Linked DNA regions of Schizosaccharomyces pombe. The protein of the gene in region 1 interacts with the protein of each later gene in a biochemical or structural test. Each region holds a gene or a part of one and is shown on either strand. Other genes may lie near its edges.

What was found.
Region 2: the proteins of pxl1 (region 1) and cdc15 form a complex in vitro, tested with the Schizosaccharomyces pombe proteins (4 studies listed by BioGRID, with this or other methods).
Region 3: the proteins of pxl1 (region 1) and ppb1 form a complex in vitro, tested with the Schizosaccharomyces pombe proteins (one study listed by BioGRID).
Region 4: the proteins of pxl1 (region 1) and cnb1 form a complex in vitro, tested with the Schizosaccharomyces pombe proteins (one study listed by BioGRID).

Annotation. Positions count from the first base shown.
Region 1 is NC_003423.3:2,710,353-2,714,738, forward strand, and holds pxl1 (paxillin-like protein Pxl1), read left to right. Parts: upstream 1-1,815; 5' UTR 1,816-2,159; coding exon 2,160-2,188; intron 2,189-2,244; coding exon 2,245-3,532; 3' UTR 3,533-3,855; downstream 3,856-4,386. Other genes in the region: asn2 (asparagine synthase), read right to left, coding at 1-1,142; erb1 (WD repeat/BOP1NT protein), read right to left, coding at 4,072-4,386.
Region 2 is NC_003424.3:1,398,642-1,404,479, reverse strand, and holds cdc15 (F-BAR domain protein Cdc15), read left to right. Parts: upstream 1-1,543; 5' UTR 1,544-1,593; coding exon 1,594-1,674; intron 1,675-1,732; coding exon 1,733-1,824; intron 1,825-2,000; exon of another isoform or gene 2,001-2,015; coding exon 2,016-4,453; exon of another isoform or gene 4,454-4,464; intron 4,465-4,509; coding exon 4,510-4,682; 3' UTR 4,683-5,280; downstream 5,281-5,838. Other genes in the region: CCR4-Not complex subunit Not1, read right to left, coding at 1-1,158. UniProt on the Schizosaccharomyces pombe protein: After the onset of mitosis, forms a ring-like structure which colocalizes with the medial actin ring. Appears to mediate cytoskeletal rearrangements required for cytokinesis. Essential for viability.
Region 3 is NC_003423.3:2,871,987-2,876,649, forward strand, and holds ppb1 (calcium-dependent serine/threonine protein phosphatase calcineurin catalytic subunit Ppb1), read left to right. Parts: upstream 1-1,935; 5' UTR 1,936-2,010; coding exon 2,011-2,149; exon of another isoform or gene 2,150-2,193; coding exon 2,194-2,400; exon of another isoform or gene 2,401-2,554; coding exon 2,555-3,873; 3' UTR 3,874-4,123; downstream 4,124-4,663. Other genes in the region: oxa102 (translocase Oxa101), read left to right, coding at 1-1,141; S-adenosylmethionine decarboxylase proenzyme Spe2, read right to left, coding at 4,247-4,663. UniProt on the Schizosaccharomyces pombe protein: Calcium-dependent, calmodulin-stimulated protein phosphatase. This subunit may have a role in the calmodulin activation of calcineurin. Appears to be involved in cytokinesis, mating, transport, nuclear and spindle pole body positioning, and cell shape.
Region 4 is NC_003421.2:2,190,335-2,193,878, reverse strand, and holds cnb1 (calcineurin regulatory subunit B), read right to left. Parts: upstream 1,789-3,544; 5' UTR 1,676-1,788; coding exon 1,624-1,675; exon of another isoform or gene 1,431-1,623; coding exon 1,194-1,430; exon of another isoform or gene 1,133-1,193; intron 1,132-1,132; coding exon 1,019-1,131; intron 966-1,018; coding exon 843-965; 3' UTR 501-842; downstream 1-500. Other genes in the region: NuA4 histone acetyltransferase core complex-Piccolo HAT module linker protein Epl1, read left to right, coding at 3,150-3,317. UniProt on the Schizosaccharomyces pombe protein: Regulatory subunit of calcineurin, a calcium-dependent, calmodulin stimulated protein phosphatase. Confers calcium sensitivity.

The DNA.
Region 1 (4,386 bases):
GAAGCAAAATAAAAAGCTAATCCAATAGAAAGATCCATAACTGAATCGTTCGGATAGATAAGTGTTTTGACTATTTCCTGTGCTTCACATACTTCTGTATAAGGAACGTTTATAGCAACAAAATTCCATTTTCGAGCAGGGCAAACTGAAATAAGCTCCTGCCAGCCTTGTAATCCAGTTTGTCTATCAGGACATACGTCGTATGCATCAAAATTGTCAGGAAGAAGTCCCGTCTCTCTGTCACGGTATGTCTCTGTAAATCTTGGGTTTTCAAAAGCCACATTAATTAAATCGATGGACTCGTTATTGGGAACTATGTCGTGCATTAGCCGTGCTAATACACCGCAATCCACTCCCCCAGAGTAAAGAACGCAAACTCGGCTATAATGACTACAGTCAAGGTTTGAAGAGCACAGTTTGGGGATTGTTAAAACTCTATCTTGAAGCGCTTTGATAAGATATGTATGCAATGTGTCCACAGTGTCTGAAGAGATTGAGCCCATGAGAAAGGACTCATCCACAGGAGGAAGAGGGTTTGTTTTTTCCAGTTGCATTAATGATTTAGAGAAGTTAATTTTTGGGATCAAGTCCACCTGCACACTATGAAACCCAGGCTCAACTTCTCGGAAATCACTAGAATTTCCTACACTTGAGAGAACGAAATTACTATCTCGTAAACTATACAAAAGGGATCTTCTTCCTAAGCGATCTCTTCCCCACCACAATGTGTTTGTACGAACTTGGTAGTAAACAAAAGCAAAAGGTCCTTGAATACTTCCCAAAATTTTTTCAATGTCGCCCGGGTTATTGTTTAAAAGTTCAAAAAGTTTTGCACCGTCGTTTTCATTACGATTGAGCGTAAATTTGTGATGATCGCTATGGTTTATTTGCCAAATTTCTCCATTCCAACACAAAACGTTTCCAAAACTGTCAACATGAGGTTGAGGCGTTAAATGATCAGAAGGGCCACGTAAATGCAAAACGCTTGACTCAAAGTGCAAATTCCAAGGTCCGCTATTCAATTTATGCTTACCAAAAAAATCAGGTCCTCTAGCCCGAATCCTTTTTCGTAAAGCTGAAAAAGATGGACTTTCAAGAAGATTATCTCTGTCTTCCGCTAAGGCGAAAAGAATTCCGCACATAAACTATTCTCAAACACTTTTGCTTCTAACAAATCTACAGTCAAAAAAGTGTTTTTTCCTTTAACGACGTTTGTGTGGTACAGTGTGATCGTAATTTTATATACAATATCATTTTGCGACACATTGCAACGCTTATAAGTAACTACACACTGAACAGACTCACGGGTCTACATATTTTTTCTTATACAATTATACTTACAACTGGTAAAGAATTTTCTTAGGTCAATCTGTAGCTTGAAAGCCAAAATTAGGTTTCTATTTATGAAACAATAAGCGAAATGCTGTATGCCTGACAAAGCATAATGGGGTAGTTAATGACATTTAAAGAGCTGTAACAATACAGTAAGCATTAATAACGCGCTCCACAATAATCTACTGCCAAAGTATAAAAAAAATAAATTATAAAAAGATATTGTACCATATTATGAAATCGCAACATATAAAATTGTCCAACAAATAACATTGATTTCGTTTGGAACATTTTCTGCATAGGAATGGCTTAATTCACTTTAATTACTAATATATTCGCATTTTTTTACTTTCTGCTGGTATACAAACATTGAATACGTACTCTCTAAGTATTCGTTAAAGGTACAATGTTACCTATTATGAGGCTGGTTTCTATAACAACGAATGTTTGTTTATATTTTGGAATATACACTTAAACAAAGCCAACACTTATTAGCTAAAACACTTTGGATAAAGCAAATATTACTGCTTTCTAAATAATAACTACTTGCTTACAATTGCATTTTTTTAATACAGCTAGTTTTTTTGGGGGACTCCGCTCTTTGAGATATATATCCTTACGTTGGCAACAATTTTCTATAAGTTAATCCCAGCTTGATTTTTGTTTTTCCTTCCTTATCCTTCTCTTCCTATTTTTTATCTTGTTTTTAAGTGTTGCGGCTAGATTTATACCCTGCGAGCTTGGCTATCCTGATTTCTTAAGGTTGTCAACGATCCTGAATTCTTTCCGTTGATTAGTGTCCTGATAGTTGAGAAGCATATCAGCAAATGCATTCACCAATTCCAGAATTACCAAGGTAATCTATTGTCTTATTGTTATTACCCAATTAGGTATCTAACTTCGTTTTTGTAGATTTGAACGTCGATTGACTGGTCCTCGTGCTGCTCCTTCTTCGCCGGTCTCTACTAATGGCTCCCCGCTAAACAATTTAGTTCGTTCTCGGTTATCTGATGGAGCACTTAACTTTACTGGAGGTCGAATAGCTACACCATTACCGCAACCAAGTTTGAAGACTCCTGAATCTCCTTTGTCCAAGAGGAATCCAACAATAAAACAAAATCGTGTACGTTTTGATCTGCCTGATGACGAGCTCTCTCGTTCTAATGTTTCGTCGCCGGAAAAAACACTACTAACCTCTGCTTCTACTTCTACTTTCGATAGCTTAAAAAAGGAGCTTTTACCTGAATTGCCATCTCTTGCATACAGTGACGACGATGAGTTTCCTAGTTCGCCGGAGGAATTGAATTCACATGTTAATTATCCAGACGTACGAAATGTTTACGATTGTCATACCGGTTTACAGCCGCTTGTTGATCATGATTGCATTGAAGACAGACAAAAAACCTTCGCATCCAAACAACTTCCTACTCTTCCTTTACAGAAATCCAGTAAACTTTCCAATCGTAGACCCGCTTTGCATTCTTTTCATTCTGCTCCTGCTAATAGCTTATATCCTTTGCCCACCCCCACTTCACAATTGCCTAGCAACTTGTCCTCAAATAATTTATTTCAATCAGATTCACTTAAGCCTTCAATGGTATCTTCTCATACATCTACAAAACCAGTTCTTTATAGAGGCAATTCTGAAAAATCCTGTCATAGTTGCGGCGGTTCTTTACGCGCTGGCAGAATAATTAGTGCTTCAGGAAAGAAATTACACCCTCAATGCTTCAAATGCGATACTTGTTCCCAGAACTTAGAGCACGTTGGATTTTATTACCGCGAGGGAAAATTTTATTGTCATCTAGACTATCATGAACAGTTCAGTCCTCGCTGTAAGCACTGCAAAACCCCAATTGAAGACCAAGCGGTCCATATCAACAATGATTGGTTTCATGAAAATCATCATTTTTGCGCTGGTTGCTCTGAAGTTTTTAATGTAAATATACCCTGTATTTACCGTGACGACCTATACTGGTGTCAGACTTGTTATGATAATAAGTATGCTGTTAAGTGCAAGAAATGCCGTAAACCCATTTTGGGGATCAGTGTAAAAGGGTCTGATGGTGAATATCATAGCCAATGTTGGACCTGCGGAGCTTGTAATGCCCTACTTGGAGATGAGGGTTATTTTATGATAGAAAATACCCCTATTTGCCGTCCTTGCAAGGCGATATCAGTCAAGTTTAATTTGGATTAACTCAGACTTACTCATCACTTTCTTTTTCTTTTTTTTTTGTTATTTTTTCACTTCTTTCATCGATTTTAGCTTTATAAGGAAAGCTGTCTTGGAAATCTTGGAGATTTTAAATCATTTCATTTAATCCACAAAGTCCAGCATGTTTACTTGCATTTAAACTTGCTGTATTTTTATAATTAAGCAATTAATGATTAGGTAACTATAGATATATAAAAAGCACTATTGAATTTCAACGGTTACGATTTTTGATATCACGTAATACTTAAATACTTTAGATAACTTACCAAAAAATAAAAAATAAAAACATATTCAGTTTGCACAAATGCATTTTAAACTTTCGAAAACCCCTATATTCCTATTAAATATCCAAAATCAAGTACGAAAACAATCTTTTCGACTTGTTAGCAAAACTATAATACAGCATTGAAAAAGTATCTTTTGCAGTAAACACTACCAAACATTATTTTTAAAAGTAGAGTTTTTCTAAATTTTAAAGCAAGTGAAGAAAACAAAAATATTTAAGACGTTTCAAACCTTTTTCAAGTCCACATCCGAATTTCTCCACCAGCACCTGCACTGAATAACCAGGCTTCTTTTGGATGCCAGCATGTGGATAAAACACCGACATTATCAACCACTTTATGATTCCGCAAAATCTTAAGAGGAACAATCAAGGGATTAGCCAGAAGGTCACTGTAAACACGACCGTGGAACACTTGAACATCACCATCATCAGAGCCAGAGCAAAATAGTGGAAGGGAAGGATGATATGAGACATCGCGAAGAGCACGTGAATGATATCGAAGATTTTTATATGGTTTAGAAGAAAAGTCTAAGTCGAACCAACATAGCCT
Region 2 (5,838 bases), on another chromosome or scaffold:
GACATTGAACTCTCTTATATCAAACATCGATGTTGGGGATAGGATAATATGAGAAATGATGGAAAGTTGCGGTAAAGGATTTCTCCAAAGAACCCAGAGAAAGTCCAACGTAAAATTAGTTTGCCTTAACTTGTAAGCATTTGTAAAGATTGTGAAGAACAGTACAAGACTAGGTGTACCCGTTATCATAAATTTAGGATTATCGAACATAGAAAGCATAGCTTCCCAATTTAGGTTTTCAAAAGAGGAAACGATAGCTTTACCCATCAAAACAGTGTCCCAAGCACCATAATCATGTATAGCTACAAGTGAATTTATAAGATAAGCAACATCAGTCTCAGTAGCCGTTCCCGGGGGATATTTTTTAAGAATTGCTTCTTTCATAGACTTAAGTGTAGCTTTGGAAGCTTTCATCGGACCAAACAAAGCTGTAAGAGGGCGTGAATTCGCCAACTTTTTCTCAATTATAGCATCAAACTTTGGAACTTTAATCAAGGGTATTCTGTCATAGTCGGTGGTAAACAAACCTTCCCTGAGCAAATCCAAATCGTTTTTATCAATACTTTGTTGCTGAGTAGGATCGGATAGTTGGTTTAAAAGAGATTGGAATGTGTTTTTAAGCAAAGCAGAAGCTTTCTTTGCTAAAGTAGGTTTAACAGAAGTGGTAAGTCCAATTAAAAGGTTAGTCCTTTCTAACGGGGAGAATTGGAAATGGTCTAAAAATGCCTCTATATCGAAATCTTCAAATACTTCAGAATCAGAACCTGAAATAGCATCACTAAAACGTTTCGCCATGACCCAAGACTTCGTGAGAGATTTTAATTCATCTAGTAGTAATTTATAAGTAGCTAGTCCATCAGAAGATTTACCGGTACCAAAAATACGGTATGAATTTCCTTGAATTAGACGGCGAAGAAAATGGTGGTATACTCTGGGTGCATTTTTGTTGATAAGTTGACGAATCTGTTCAAGTTTCGTATCATATTGGTCTTCCCGTAAGGTCGACAATAAGAAAAGGATTTGTGCTTTAACAATACTTTCAATTTTTGAATCGTTTGGTGGAGGGGTCTTAGAATCTAGTGATATAGGATGCCCAGATTCAGAAGTTGAACTAGATTTCTCTCGTGTCTCCGGCGTTTGTTGTTCTTGGCTCTTCATATTTTTAACGCTTTTCTATTACCATGCCTTTGTGAGGCTATTATTATACTCCTATGCTATTTTCAGCTGATATATTCTTTGAATATTTACAGATGAGATGCAGCAGTATCTGCTAGCAAGTTTGAATGAAAATAGGTGCAGTGGTGTTTTGCAAAAGATATGTCGGTCCTCCTCACTGCCAGGCAGTCTAAGAAAGGATCGAACATTAAATTTAACGAGACTGTATCTTTCGTAAACTTTTTTAACAAAATTTAAGGATAGAGTTAATTTGCAGTTGCTTATTGTGCACTCAGATAGGCAACGGTTGCTAGGGACGGTTGTCACCGCAGTAGTCGCAGTAAACAAACATGTTTACTCTTTTCCTGAAATCGACTACCAGGAATTTACCAACAACAAATCACAAATTTTGCTGCATTTTGTTCTTTCAATAACAAAATGGAGGTTAATGGAGTCTCTCAATCTGAAGCGGCTCCGTACGTTACCAAATCTTCTGTTAAGTTCCGCGATAATTTCTGGGTATGTGTAAATTTGCTGTATTTAGTAAAGCAAAGTTATGTTAACAAAATCGTTGCAGGGATCTGAAGATGCGGGTATGGATGCTCTTATGTCCCGAACAAAATCTTCTCTTTCCGTATTAGAATCAATTGATGAATTTTACGCAAAGCGGTAAGTATGGTTGCCTCGTTTGGAAGTTGCAGCTCTACCTTAAGCGCTACGATGATTCAAGAAATATGTTTTTGGTCGTTTCATTGTCATTTAAGATGTTTTACAGATAATCGTGGATTCTTAAGATAGCTTGTGTAATGAACCGAAGGGTTCGGTATGATTATTGATTAAAGTCTGACTAACTAAATTAGTGCTTCTATTGAGCGTGAGTACGCATCTAAACTGCAAGAGTTAGCTGCCAGCTCAGCAGACATCCCAGAAGTTGGATCAACTTTAAATAATATTTTATCTATGAGAACTGAAACAGGGAGTATGGCCAAAGCGCATGAAGAAGTCTCACAACAGATAAATACCGAATTGCGAAATAAAATTCGCGAGTACATTGATCAGACGGAGCAACAGAAAGTTGTTGCAGCCAATGCCATTGAGGAATTATATCAGAAAAAAACGGCTCTCGAAATAGACTTATCCGAGAAGAAGGATGCCTACGAGTACAGTTGTAACAAGCTGAATAGCTACATGAGACAGACAAAAAAGATGACTGGTCGTGAATTAGACAAATACAATTTAAAAATCCGTCAAGCAGCGCTAGCAGTAAAAAAAATGGATGCGGAATACAGAGAAACAAACGAATTACTTCTTACAGTTACTCGGGAATGGATTGATCGTTGGACAGAGGTCTGTGATGCTTTTCAACATATTGAGGAATATCGTTTAGAGTTTCTCAAAACAAACATGTGGGCCTATGCAAATATAATATCTACTGCTTGTGTAAAAGATGATGAATCTTGTGAAAAGATTCGACTCACACTCGAAAACACTAACATTGATGAAGATATTACTCAAATGATTCAAAACGAAGGTACCGGAACTACAATTCCCCCTTTACCCGAGTTTAATGACTATTTCAAAGAAAACGGATTAAATTATGACATCGACCAGCTCATTTCTAAAGCTCCTTCTTATCCATACTCCTCTTCGCGTCCCTCAGCTTCTGCATCTTTGGCAAGTTCGCCAACACGTAGCGCTTTTCGCCCCAAAACTAGTGAAACAGTTTCATCGGAAGTTGTATCATCACCACCTACTTCACCATTGCATTCACCAGTTAAGCCAGTGTCTAATGAACAAGTTGAACAAGTTACAGAGGTTGAACTTTCTATTCCCGTTCCTTCTATACAAGAAGCTGAATCCCAGAAACCAGTACTTACAGGGAGCTCAATGCGTCGACCTTCTGTAACATCACCAACTTTTGAAGTAGCTGCTCGTCCTTTGACTTCAATGGATGTTAGATCCTCTCATAATGCCGAGACTGAGGTACAGGCTATACCCGCTGCAACAGATATATCACCCGAAGTTAAGGAAGGTAAAAATAGTGAGAATGCTATCACGAAAGATAATGATGATATTATTTTGAGTAGTCAACTTCAACCTACTGCTACCGGAAGTCGGTCATCTAGGTTGTCTTTCTCTCGACATGGACACGGGTCTCAAACTAGTTTGGGATCTATCAAACGAAAATCAATAATGGAGCGTATGGGGAGACCCACTTCTCCCTTCATGGGTTCTAGTTTCTCTAATATGGGTAGCCGAAGTACCTCACCTACTAAAGAAGGATTTGCTAGCAATCAACATGCCACAGGCGCGTCTGTCCAGTCTGATGAGTTAGAAGATATTGACCCCAGAGCTAACGTTGTTTTAAACGTTGGACCCAACATGCTTTCTGTTGGAGAGGCACCAGTGGAATCCACATCCAAAGAAGAAGACAAAGATGTACCCGATCCCATCGCTAATGCAATGGCTGAATTAAGTTCGTCAATGAGAAGACGCCAATCGACATCAGTTGACGATGAAGCGCCTGTTTCTCTTAGTAAGACGTCTTCTTCTACAAGATTAAATGGCTTGGGCTATCACTCTCGAAATACTTCTATAGCTAGTGATATAGATGGCGTTCCCAAAAAGAGTACCTTAGGAGCTCCTCCAGCCGCACACACTTCTGCTCAAATGCAACGCATGAGTAATAGTTTTGCTTCCCAAACAAAGCAGGTGTTCGGAGAGCAACGAACCGAAAATTCAGCTAGAGAATCCCTTCGTCATAGTCGAAGCAATATGAGTAGATCTCCTTCTCCAATGTTATCGAGAAGAAGCTCCACCTTGCGCCCAAGCTTTGAGAGGTCTGCATCTTCTCTTAGTGTACGCCAATCTGATGTCGTTTCGCCAGCACCTTCTACAAGGGCTCGTGGGCAATCAGTGTCTGGTCAACAAAGGCCATCTTCATCTATGTCGTTGTATGGTGAGTACAACAAATCTCAACCTCAGTTGTCTATGCAACGTTCTGTTTCTCCCAATCCGTTAGGCCCTAATCGTAGATCGTCATCAGTCTTACAGTCACAGAAATCTACTTCATCTAACACATCAAACCGAAACAATGGTGGTTATAGTGGATCGAGACCAAGTTCAGAAATGGGTCACAGATATGGGTCTATGAGTGGAAGGTCCATGAGGCAAGTTTCCCAAAGATCCACCAGTCGCGCACGGTCACCAGAGCCGACTAATAGAAATAGCGTTCAATCAAAGAATGTCGATCCACGAGCTACTTTTACGGCTGAAGGAGAGCCAATTTTAGGATATGGTAAGTTCATTAAAGAGAAACTTTAAAAATTTTTAATTTTACTAATTATAATTCAGTTATCGCACTTTATGATTATCAAGCTCAAATACCTGAAGAAATTAGCTTCCAAAAGGGCGATACATTAATGGTTCTTCGCACACAAGAAGATGGATGGTGGGATGGTGAAATTATTAATGTTCCAAATTCAAAACGTGGTTTATTCCCGTCGAACTTTGTTCAGACGGTATAGACACTGATTACCCTCTTTTCTAGATGTTTACACTTGCATTCTTTTTCGCGTGGTTACTATCTCTTACTAATCCGTAATTCCTTATTTTTTTTTTGATGACTTAACGCGAAACGACATGCTTTTTTTTTTTAAATTCATTTCTCGTCATGGTCTAAGCTTCGTTGCATTGCATAGGTATTTATACGCATTTATTTTGATATCTAAAGATTTCTGTTTTAAAGGAAATACACATAGAATCTAGTTGATTGGAATATATTTTATTTTATTTTATTAACAATGTTTGACTCCTTTGTCCTTTGGCTATTGTAAGACGTAAGAATAACACTAATTGTTTTTGAAGATTTCGTGCATTTCAAAGTTTCATATGATTTTTACATCAATTTCAAAACCGATTTTAGTAAATTAAAATCAAGGTACGATTTGGTATGTAGCTTTGACAAGATATAGCTAAATTGCTAATTTTTATCAGTAACTAGAGGATAAAGTTGAATAAACCAAAAATATAACACGATGATGAATTTGCCTGCTCAAAAATATGATATCCGCAGATGTAGGATTCTGAGCTTTACTTTTTAAAAAGAAGCCGACCGATAATTACCAGAAAATGCATTTGTGGATAAGGTATGTTTGAAGAGTGCAAACCCAGATTTTTTGTTTGGCTATAGATACAGTGTGCATCAACTAGCTTGTAAACATGAGTGTTAGGAGATATGAATAGATGCTTATAAAATGATCTGATTGAAAAGAAGTCTCGCTAGCCTGAACAGATAAGATTATTGATTGAGGTATAAAAAGACATAAGACCCTGATTTTGCAAAAACACATGCGTGCCTTTATATTTACATACCTACTTAGTGAAAAAGCTACAGATTTTGTTATTTGCTTTAACGATACAATGAACTGCGGTGAGTTTCGCTTATGAGCTGTTTATTCTATGATACTTTTGAATAATAGAGGTAACAGTTGCTATATATATTGTTATATGTAGGTACTGTTGTAATTTGTCGCTGAGAAAGAACTGAAGAACGAGGATCTATTTATCGTGTATTATTCTTAATAGCTTATATTTTATTGTATTGTTAGCAAGATCTATCTCATGTTCGTATTATCATGACACGATGTGCAAATTGAATGAATGAATGAATAATGATATGTA
Region 3 (4,663 bases), 160 kb from region 1:
GATTCGCCAGATCCACACACATAATACATTTTTTAAGAATTTCTCTTTTGCTAAGCTTGGCCGAAATCAGCGTACTTCTTCCTTAATAAAAATTCACAACTCTTCGACTTCTTTCCCCAAATCTAGGTCCGAGAAAGTGGTTTACACTCCTAGTCTGCCATTGTCGTCCTCCGTCTTAGCATCTTTTTCTTTCTTACCTCATAATATCCTCCAAAACGGCCTTAATACGCTTCATATTTGGAGCGGCCTTCCTTGGTGGGCTTCAATTGCTGCATGTGCTGTTGCTATGAGAATTGCAGTATTTCCTATTATGTTAAAGATGATGAAAACGTCCGCAAAGCTCGCTATCATTAACCCAAAGGTTGCTGAACACATGAGTGTGTTGAGTAAAGCAAAGGCTGAAGGAAACAGCGAATTAATGATGCAAGCTACCACTCAAATCCAAAACCTTTATAAAGTTAACAATGTTAACCCTTTGAATTTGCTTTCTGCTCCTGTATTTCAGGGAATTCTGTTTATTAGCTTTTTTTACGCGTTGAAGACAATGGCGGGTGTACCTGTAGAGGGTTTCACTGATGGTGGTTTTTGGTGGGTTAATGATTTATCCCAGCCTGATCCTCTACACATATTTCCGGTTGCAAACGGCCTTCTTATGCTGCTCAATATAGAGCTTGGTAGCGAAACTGGAAGTAATAAGGTTGCTATGTCTCCCTCAATGAAAAAATTTTTTAGATTTCTTTGCCTTGCCAGTCCACTATTCACTATGAATTTTCCTATGGCAATTTTTATGTATTGGTTTCCTAGCAATGTCTTCAGTGTATTTCAAGGGGCATTTTTGCGTTCATCCACCATAAGGCATAAACTTGGCTTACCAGAAGTCCCATCTGCTATGCCAGTACCGAACGCTCAAAATGAATCGTTTGTTAAGTCATTTACCGATATTGTCCATGGGGTTCAAGAAAAAGGTAAATACCCACAAGCCTCTGAAATACTAGATGCTACACGTTTCCTTAAAACCGATACAAACAATGAGCAAAAACCTACTAATAATAGTACAATTACCAAAGCTACTACGCTATCTGATAATTCTCAAAATGACAAGTCCTCTTCTGTTACCAAACCCACCGAGAAGAAAGATTAAGCTTTTTTGTGTGCTTTGGAATTCTCTTTCTTAGAAGTGTTCCAATGTCCTATTGAGAGCATAAAAGTTTGTAAGATATGGTTAATTTTTTACATTTGTTGCATTATTCATTTCTTTCCTTTGGCTTTATCCCATAATTTTACATATGTTTTAGTTTTTGCATATATCTTCACACTTGCAACACTCTTTTCTATTTCCTTTACTTCTAATAAAATACCCAAATTTACATTTATTTTGCTTATTCTTTCTAAAAATCGCTTTTGTCTAATTCTTTACTACGGAAAGCGATGAGAAATCAAAGAATATTTACAATAACCTAAAATTTGACGTAGCCGTCTAAACAAAAAATAAAATGATTATTAACTCTTAAAGTGTTTTATGGATATTTATTTTATCAATAAAACTATCGTTATTTCAGTTAGGTAATCATGGAATGTAAGTTTCATCAAATCAACTTAGTTTGCTTCTCTCAAAAATGAGCAAGGCAATATAATTAGGAAGGAATTCAGGTAGTATTTGGGTTCCCTTTCTACAAGTTCATTTCTTATTACTAACACGATTGGTTATTAAGATATGTTTGTCTAAGCGGCGATTGTTTGTAAATTTTTAAATATACAGAAGTAAAGATTATGATGAAATATATCTATATTATAAAAAAAAAAAAAAGTACTTAGAATTGTAAACAGATATGTTTTTTGTTCACATGGTTCATTGAGAAAAGCAATTACGAATTTCTTTGCTTTTCGTTAAACCATTTTCCAAAACCGCCGGGACGATGTAAGTATAACAAACCAGAATCTACCAAAACTTTTTGCAAGAATATCTAGCATTTTACCCAGGCTGTATATAGGCTTGCAAAAGTTACTAATATGACTTCGGGTCCTCATAATTTAGAAGACCCAATAGTTCGAGCAATTCGCCAAAAAAATCAAGCTCCTTCTCATGATTTTACAATATTTGTTCAAGAAGATGGCTCTAGTGTTAGCACACTGGATAGAGTAGTGAAAAGTACGGATATTTTTGAAAGAAATTAGTCTTATTAACAATCAAAGATGTTCAAGCACCAGCAACTTATATTCCGACGGACGTGGAGTTTTTTGATATTAATGAACCTGATAAACCTGACTTGCATTTTCTTCGCAATCATTTCATTCGGGAAGGCCGTTTATCTGAGGAACAAACGTTGTATATTATAAAAAAGGCTACAGAAATTTTGAAGTCAGAAGACAACTTGATTGAGGTGGATGCACCTGTCACTGGTATGTTGATTATCACCTTTCATATTTAGGCCCTAATTACTATAAGGTAAAATATTAGAACTTTGAAATGTAATTTATGACTATGTTTTTCCTTCATTTTAATTTGGGTCGATATTTTGTTTGTATTGCAATATTCTTCGGTCTGACAGCTTAGTATGCGGTGACATTCACGGCCAATATTATGATCTTATGAAACTATTTGAAGTTGGAGGTAATCCAGCAAATACCCAATATCTTTTCCTTGGAGATTACGTGGATCGAGGATATTTCTCAATTGAGTGTTTATTGTACTTGTGGGCTTTGAAAATATGGTATCCGAAAACGCTTTGGTTGCTTCGTGGCAATCACGAATGCGCTCATCTTACTGACTATTTTACCTTCAAGTTAGAATGTACTCATAAGTATAATATTAAAGTTTATGAAGCTTGTTTACAATCTTTTAATGCCCTTCCTTTGGCAGCTATTATGAATAAGCAATTTTTATGTGTACATGGTGGATTATCACCCGAACTACATACTTTGAATGATATACGAATGATCAATCGTTTTTGTGAGCCTCCAACTCATGGGTTGATGTGTGATTTACTCTGGTCTGATCCCCTTGAAGATTTTGGATCGGAAAAATCAAACAAGCATTTTATTCATAATAATGTTCGTGGCTGTTCTTACTTTTATAGTTACCAAGCTGTTTGCACCTTCTTAGAAAACAATAATCTCCTCTCCGTTATTCGTGCTCATGAAGCTCAAGATGTGGGCTATCGAATGTATCGCAAAACTAAAACAACCGGGTTTCCATCTTTGATGACCATATTTTCAGCACCCAACTATTTGGATGTTTACAATAATAAAGCTGCTGTTTTGAAATACGAAAATAATGTAATGAATATAAGACAATTTAATTGTTCCCCTCATCCTTACTGGCTTCCTAACTTTATGGATGTTTTTACTTGGAGTCTTCCATTTGTGGGCGAAAAAGTTTCTGAAATGTTGATTTCAATGCTCAATATATGTTCTAAGGAGGAGCTTTATGAAACGGATTTGAAAGAATCGGCTCCGACTCAGCATAAACAGCCTGCTCCATCTGAGAATGAAAATAAAGCCGACCAAGAAATTGATATTGAAGCTCGTAGGCAAATTATTAAAAACAAGATTATGGCTATTGGCCGTATCTCTCGAGTATTCAGTGTGCTTAGAGAAGAACGGGAAAGTGTTTCGGAACTGAAAAACGTGTCAGGTACGCAAAGATTACCTGCGGGTACTTTAATGTTGGGAGCTGAGGGTATCAAAAATGCTATCAATTCCTTCGATGATGCTCGTAAGCTGGATATCCAAAATGAACGTTTACCGCCATCTAATAGCCGTCGACGTTCTACGGATTTAAAGGCTTTCGAAGAAGTAATGAATTCGTCTGAAGATGATACCTCTATCGATCATTTGGTAGAACGCTTTGCAGATAAGAAAAGCTCTTTGTAGATACCAAAACCTGCGCATATTCGTTTTTTAGTTGGAATTTTTCAATGAGCATAAACCTGATCCGAGGTTTTAAGCATACTTACAACAAATATCTAAACACTCAAAATAAAGAAAGCAAATGAGTTTACTTTAGCATAATACAAGATAACCGATGACTAGATACATAAGCATTGCATTTAGATATTCATAATAAACTTTTTGGTATTCATAACTATGAAACCTTTTATAAAACAAGCAAACAAAAGACGACTACTTTTTGCATAATGAAAGATTGTAAAAAGGGGTATTCGCATGGCACGCTCCACCGTAAAAAAGAATGATAATAAATATAGCAACAGATAATTTAAAATATCTAGCTGACTGTTCTCCGAACTTATACTGCAGTAAAGCTGGCAAATATAAGATCATATCCAGGAAAGTCATACACTATAAATTCTTCACGCTTATAAGAGCTAAAAGATTTAAGTTTGGCCGAGAAATGCTTCTCTTGAGACGCACCTTTAGCCTGGAAAAGGGTAAGACAAAATTTGTTTGCACCAAAAGTTTTAACAGTTTTTTCGATTGTTTCAGATATGGATCTTCCGAATTGGAATTGCGAAACATTTGTTTCAAATGAAGCATAAGAACAATGTTCTTGAGGCGTAACATGGATTGTGGCATAGCGGTCCTTGTAAATCATATTCGACGAGAACCCAATTGGCTCAAATTGAAAAGCATCAAGCACTGCTTTTTTATCAGAGGTACTACATAAGTCTCTAACACCCGATTCATCAGCTACATAACTGCCAAG
Region 4 (3,544 bases), on another chromosome or scaffold:
TAGGATGACAACATATATTTTGGGTTTTATGATTCCTGACATTGTTTAGATATGCCGGAATTTGGAAAAGGATCTTGGGGACACAGAGCCAAGATTTCATTCCTCTTTTTTTAAGTCTTTGAGGTTCCTTCTAATCCATTCCTAACCTTTTTCTTTACGTTAACAAAGATAATGCAGTTGATGCATTTGCAACGAAATTGCCGTTGAGTTGCATGCTATTGTAATTATTTGGTAATGTCTTGGCGATTTAAAATCGCTTATCGATGAGAAGAGCTCAAATGAAAGTTCTTAATCTAATGACTTTAAAAACTATATATGAAAATAATTAATTATTTATTATTTAAAATGCATACTGTATCGTCTTTGTAAATGATCTTTATTGTTCGATCTCATCATCAATTTTTCAACGTAGTATTTTTAAAATGGGTTTCTTACTGTTGTAAGTGAACATCTGTTCAATGTTTATACTTTACAACGCCTTGAATTTGTAAATATTTAAGACGTTTACTCTATTCTGTAAACAACTTTGACTGAGAATTATAGTATTGCTAAAGAAGCATAATAATCTAAGTTATGTGTTCAAGATTTTTGTATGACAGGTTATAGTAAAAATTCGATACGCAATTCATACAAACTTTTTTTGGTAGATTAAGCATTGTAAAAATAGCAAGTAGGAAAAGAAATGTAATAGTATGCATTTATAAAATTCGAAATACAGATGCAAGGAATGAAGACGATAAAACAAAATGTGTAAAAGGAATCTTTAGTCAAACTCGTAATTGCGTTCGACAAAACGAAAGAAGGGAGGAAACAAGGATCAGTTTTAATTTTAAGTATGCTCATCAAAAAGAATCGAGTGTCATGCTACTAGTAACGTTGGAACCGCTGACAATATCTTTGAACTCTTCAAAGCTAATTTTTCCATCGCGATCCTTATCAACTTCCATAATGGTTTTGTCAACAATCTAGTTATAATAGGAGTCAGATTTTGAGATAAGAGGTTTTGTCTATAACATACCTGCTGCAATTGATCTTCCCGAAGATTCGTGCCAACCATCATTTTCAGAACTAGATAAAGTTCTCCGTTTGAAATATAACCATCACGGTCAATATCATAAATCTTGAAGGCAACTAGATAAAACAATAATGTTAGAACATAATTTGCAAAGGAACGACAAGTTGATTGAGCTTACACTTCAGCTTTTCCTCTTTATTGCCATGCACTGAAAATACAGAAAGGCTATTAATAAATTCTTGAAAGTCCACATCTCCTCCACCGTCTTCGTCTACAACTGAAAACAGTCTGGAAGCAAGTGGGTTAGAAGCTACACTGGGAATCGACAAAAATTCGTTTCGGTCAATAGAGCCAGATTGGTTAGCATCTATTTTAATAAAACGCTTGCGAATTCTTTCTATCTCCTCATTGGAAACTAGATACAATGAACGTTAGCCGAGTCGCTTTGAGGTGCTAATACTTTTGCATTGTGCATGTGAAACCGGCAACTTTGATGAATTGGCTATAATCTTAAAAAGAAATAGACGACAAGAGATGTAAGTATTCTAACATGAAAAAATATAATGATAAGAACACTTTTGGCCACACGTACTAAGCATCAAACTTACAGGATGAATTTGAGATCAAGTCCTCAAAGATTTGCGACTGCGACTGACCCATGAGAGGGAAACACAATAATATGAAATGAGTAAGGTTCAATTAACAAACCAAGAATATAACGGTCAGCTACCTTTCAAAGAAAATTCCTTATATCGGTGGTGGTAGTTTGAGTCAAAATCCTTCTGAATGTAAGGGTCGAATGTCACTTGGCACACTTTGTCTTCCACCAATCTCAAAGATAATCGTGGAATCCGTAAATTTCAAAAAATGACTTGAAAACATGTTGGGTTGTGCAAAAAAATAGCTATGAAAATTATCTGTAAGCTTGTAATTGAAAATTCAACTGCAATGGCAGCTTTTCATTTTTAGAAAGGATGCATCAAACGAAAATCCGGCTTAAAAACGACAAAGAATTGAGGTTTAGAGCAATTCATAATTGCTTTGGAGATGGCTGTTTCTGCATCTTGGATTTTTAAAGGCGAGGTTTTGTAATTTTTCAAAACTAAATACCTTTAACCTTTATTCTTTCTGATGACCAAATTTTTTTTAAACTGCTTTAGCAGTTTTATGCTGATTAAGCTTTACCATATGAGCTTAAGATTATGAAGGAAGCAAAATCTGAGAATGAGCAATTTTTCGACATGTTTGGTAAGTATTTGAAAGGACTTTCGAATATTTGAAAGATTGCAATTCATGTTTTTAAATCAAATTTTAATCTTCCTGAAAAGGGCTTGGTTTCTGGAAAAAGCAAATGTGGAACGTTGAAAATGTTTGTCTACAACTTGCTTCGTTTTGAAAAAGACATTCATTTTTCTCACCCTATACTATGCGCAGTTGGCATAGATAATTGATGAGATACGGAAAACATCTTCGTTAGTGGAAAAAAATGTAGAATTTATTCCGCTGTTTACTTCTATGTTCCACCTGGCTCTGCTGCGAACAGTTTATTATTCTAACAGAAATGCCTATTCATGGTCTATAACACGCATTGAAAGTAAAAATCAAGTGCTTTTTTCTGCTACTAGAGACTACGAATACTAGCAGATCATGACTTTTCTTTTGAATTAGTAATGCTTTTTTTCTATTGAGTATTGACGAGGGTTTTCCGACGTCAATAAGATGAACTATGATAGAACTTGATTCCTTATAATTCACTATGGAGTTTTATGGACTTCACTTCAACTGATGGTTGACAATTTCCTCTTTTGTTTCTCCTGCCATCGGTTTCTTCCATTGTTTACACCTGGAATCTCCAGTAAATATCGCTACAATACGTTGTATATTAACGGTACGAGCGTATTAGAAAATTATTTTTGGTTACGTTGCTCCTCGGTAAATTATCGCAGTGAAGAGGTTTATGAAAAATTTCATTCGGTTTGTTAACCCCTAGTGGTTTGACACACCAACGACGACGGCCGTCAACTACGCCAGGATTTAGCGCCTGTTTCTACAAGATTTTGAGTGAGACGAGTATCTTATAATTTTACGGTTGGATAGATTTAAGTGATTGGAGTCCAACGATACCAATATTATCATGAGTTCCGTCTCCAAAAATGCTAGGGCATATCGTCAACGGAAGGTCGGTATTAAAACCGTTATGCCGATTTATTTCGAACGTGATATACCTGACTTTGATGAAGAAGCTTCACTTCAGCGGACAGTTCCCTTGGTGGAATCTGGTGTTGAAAAAGAAGAGGAAGAGGTAAGTGCGAACCCGAGAATGTGAAAGATAATGAAAAGTACGAAAAACCTTGGCTTCTTGATGGATTTCGTTGACAAAAATAAACACTCTTTTTAAAGGTGCTTAATCACCGTTTTACAATGTATACGAAGGGTTATGCGGAAAATTATGATTTGAGCGGAGTTGCATCGAATTTCTGAATTTTTTAAACTTGCTAGTTTGTTTGTGTTAAAGTTACTCTTGTAAAG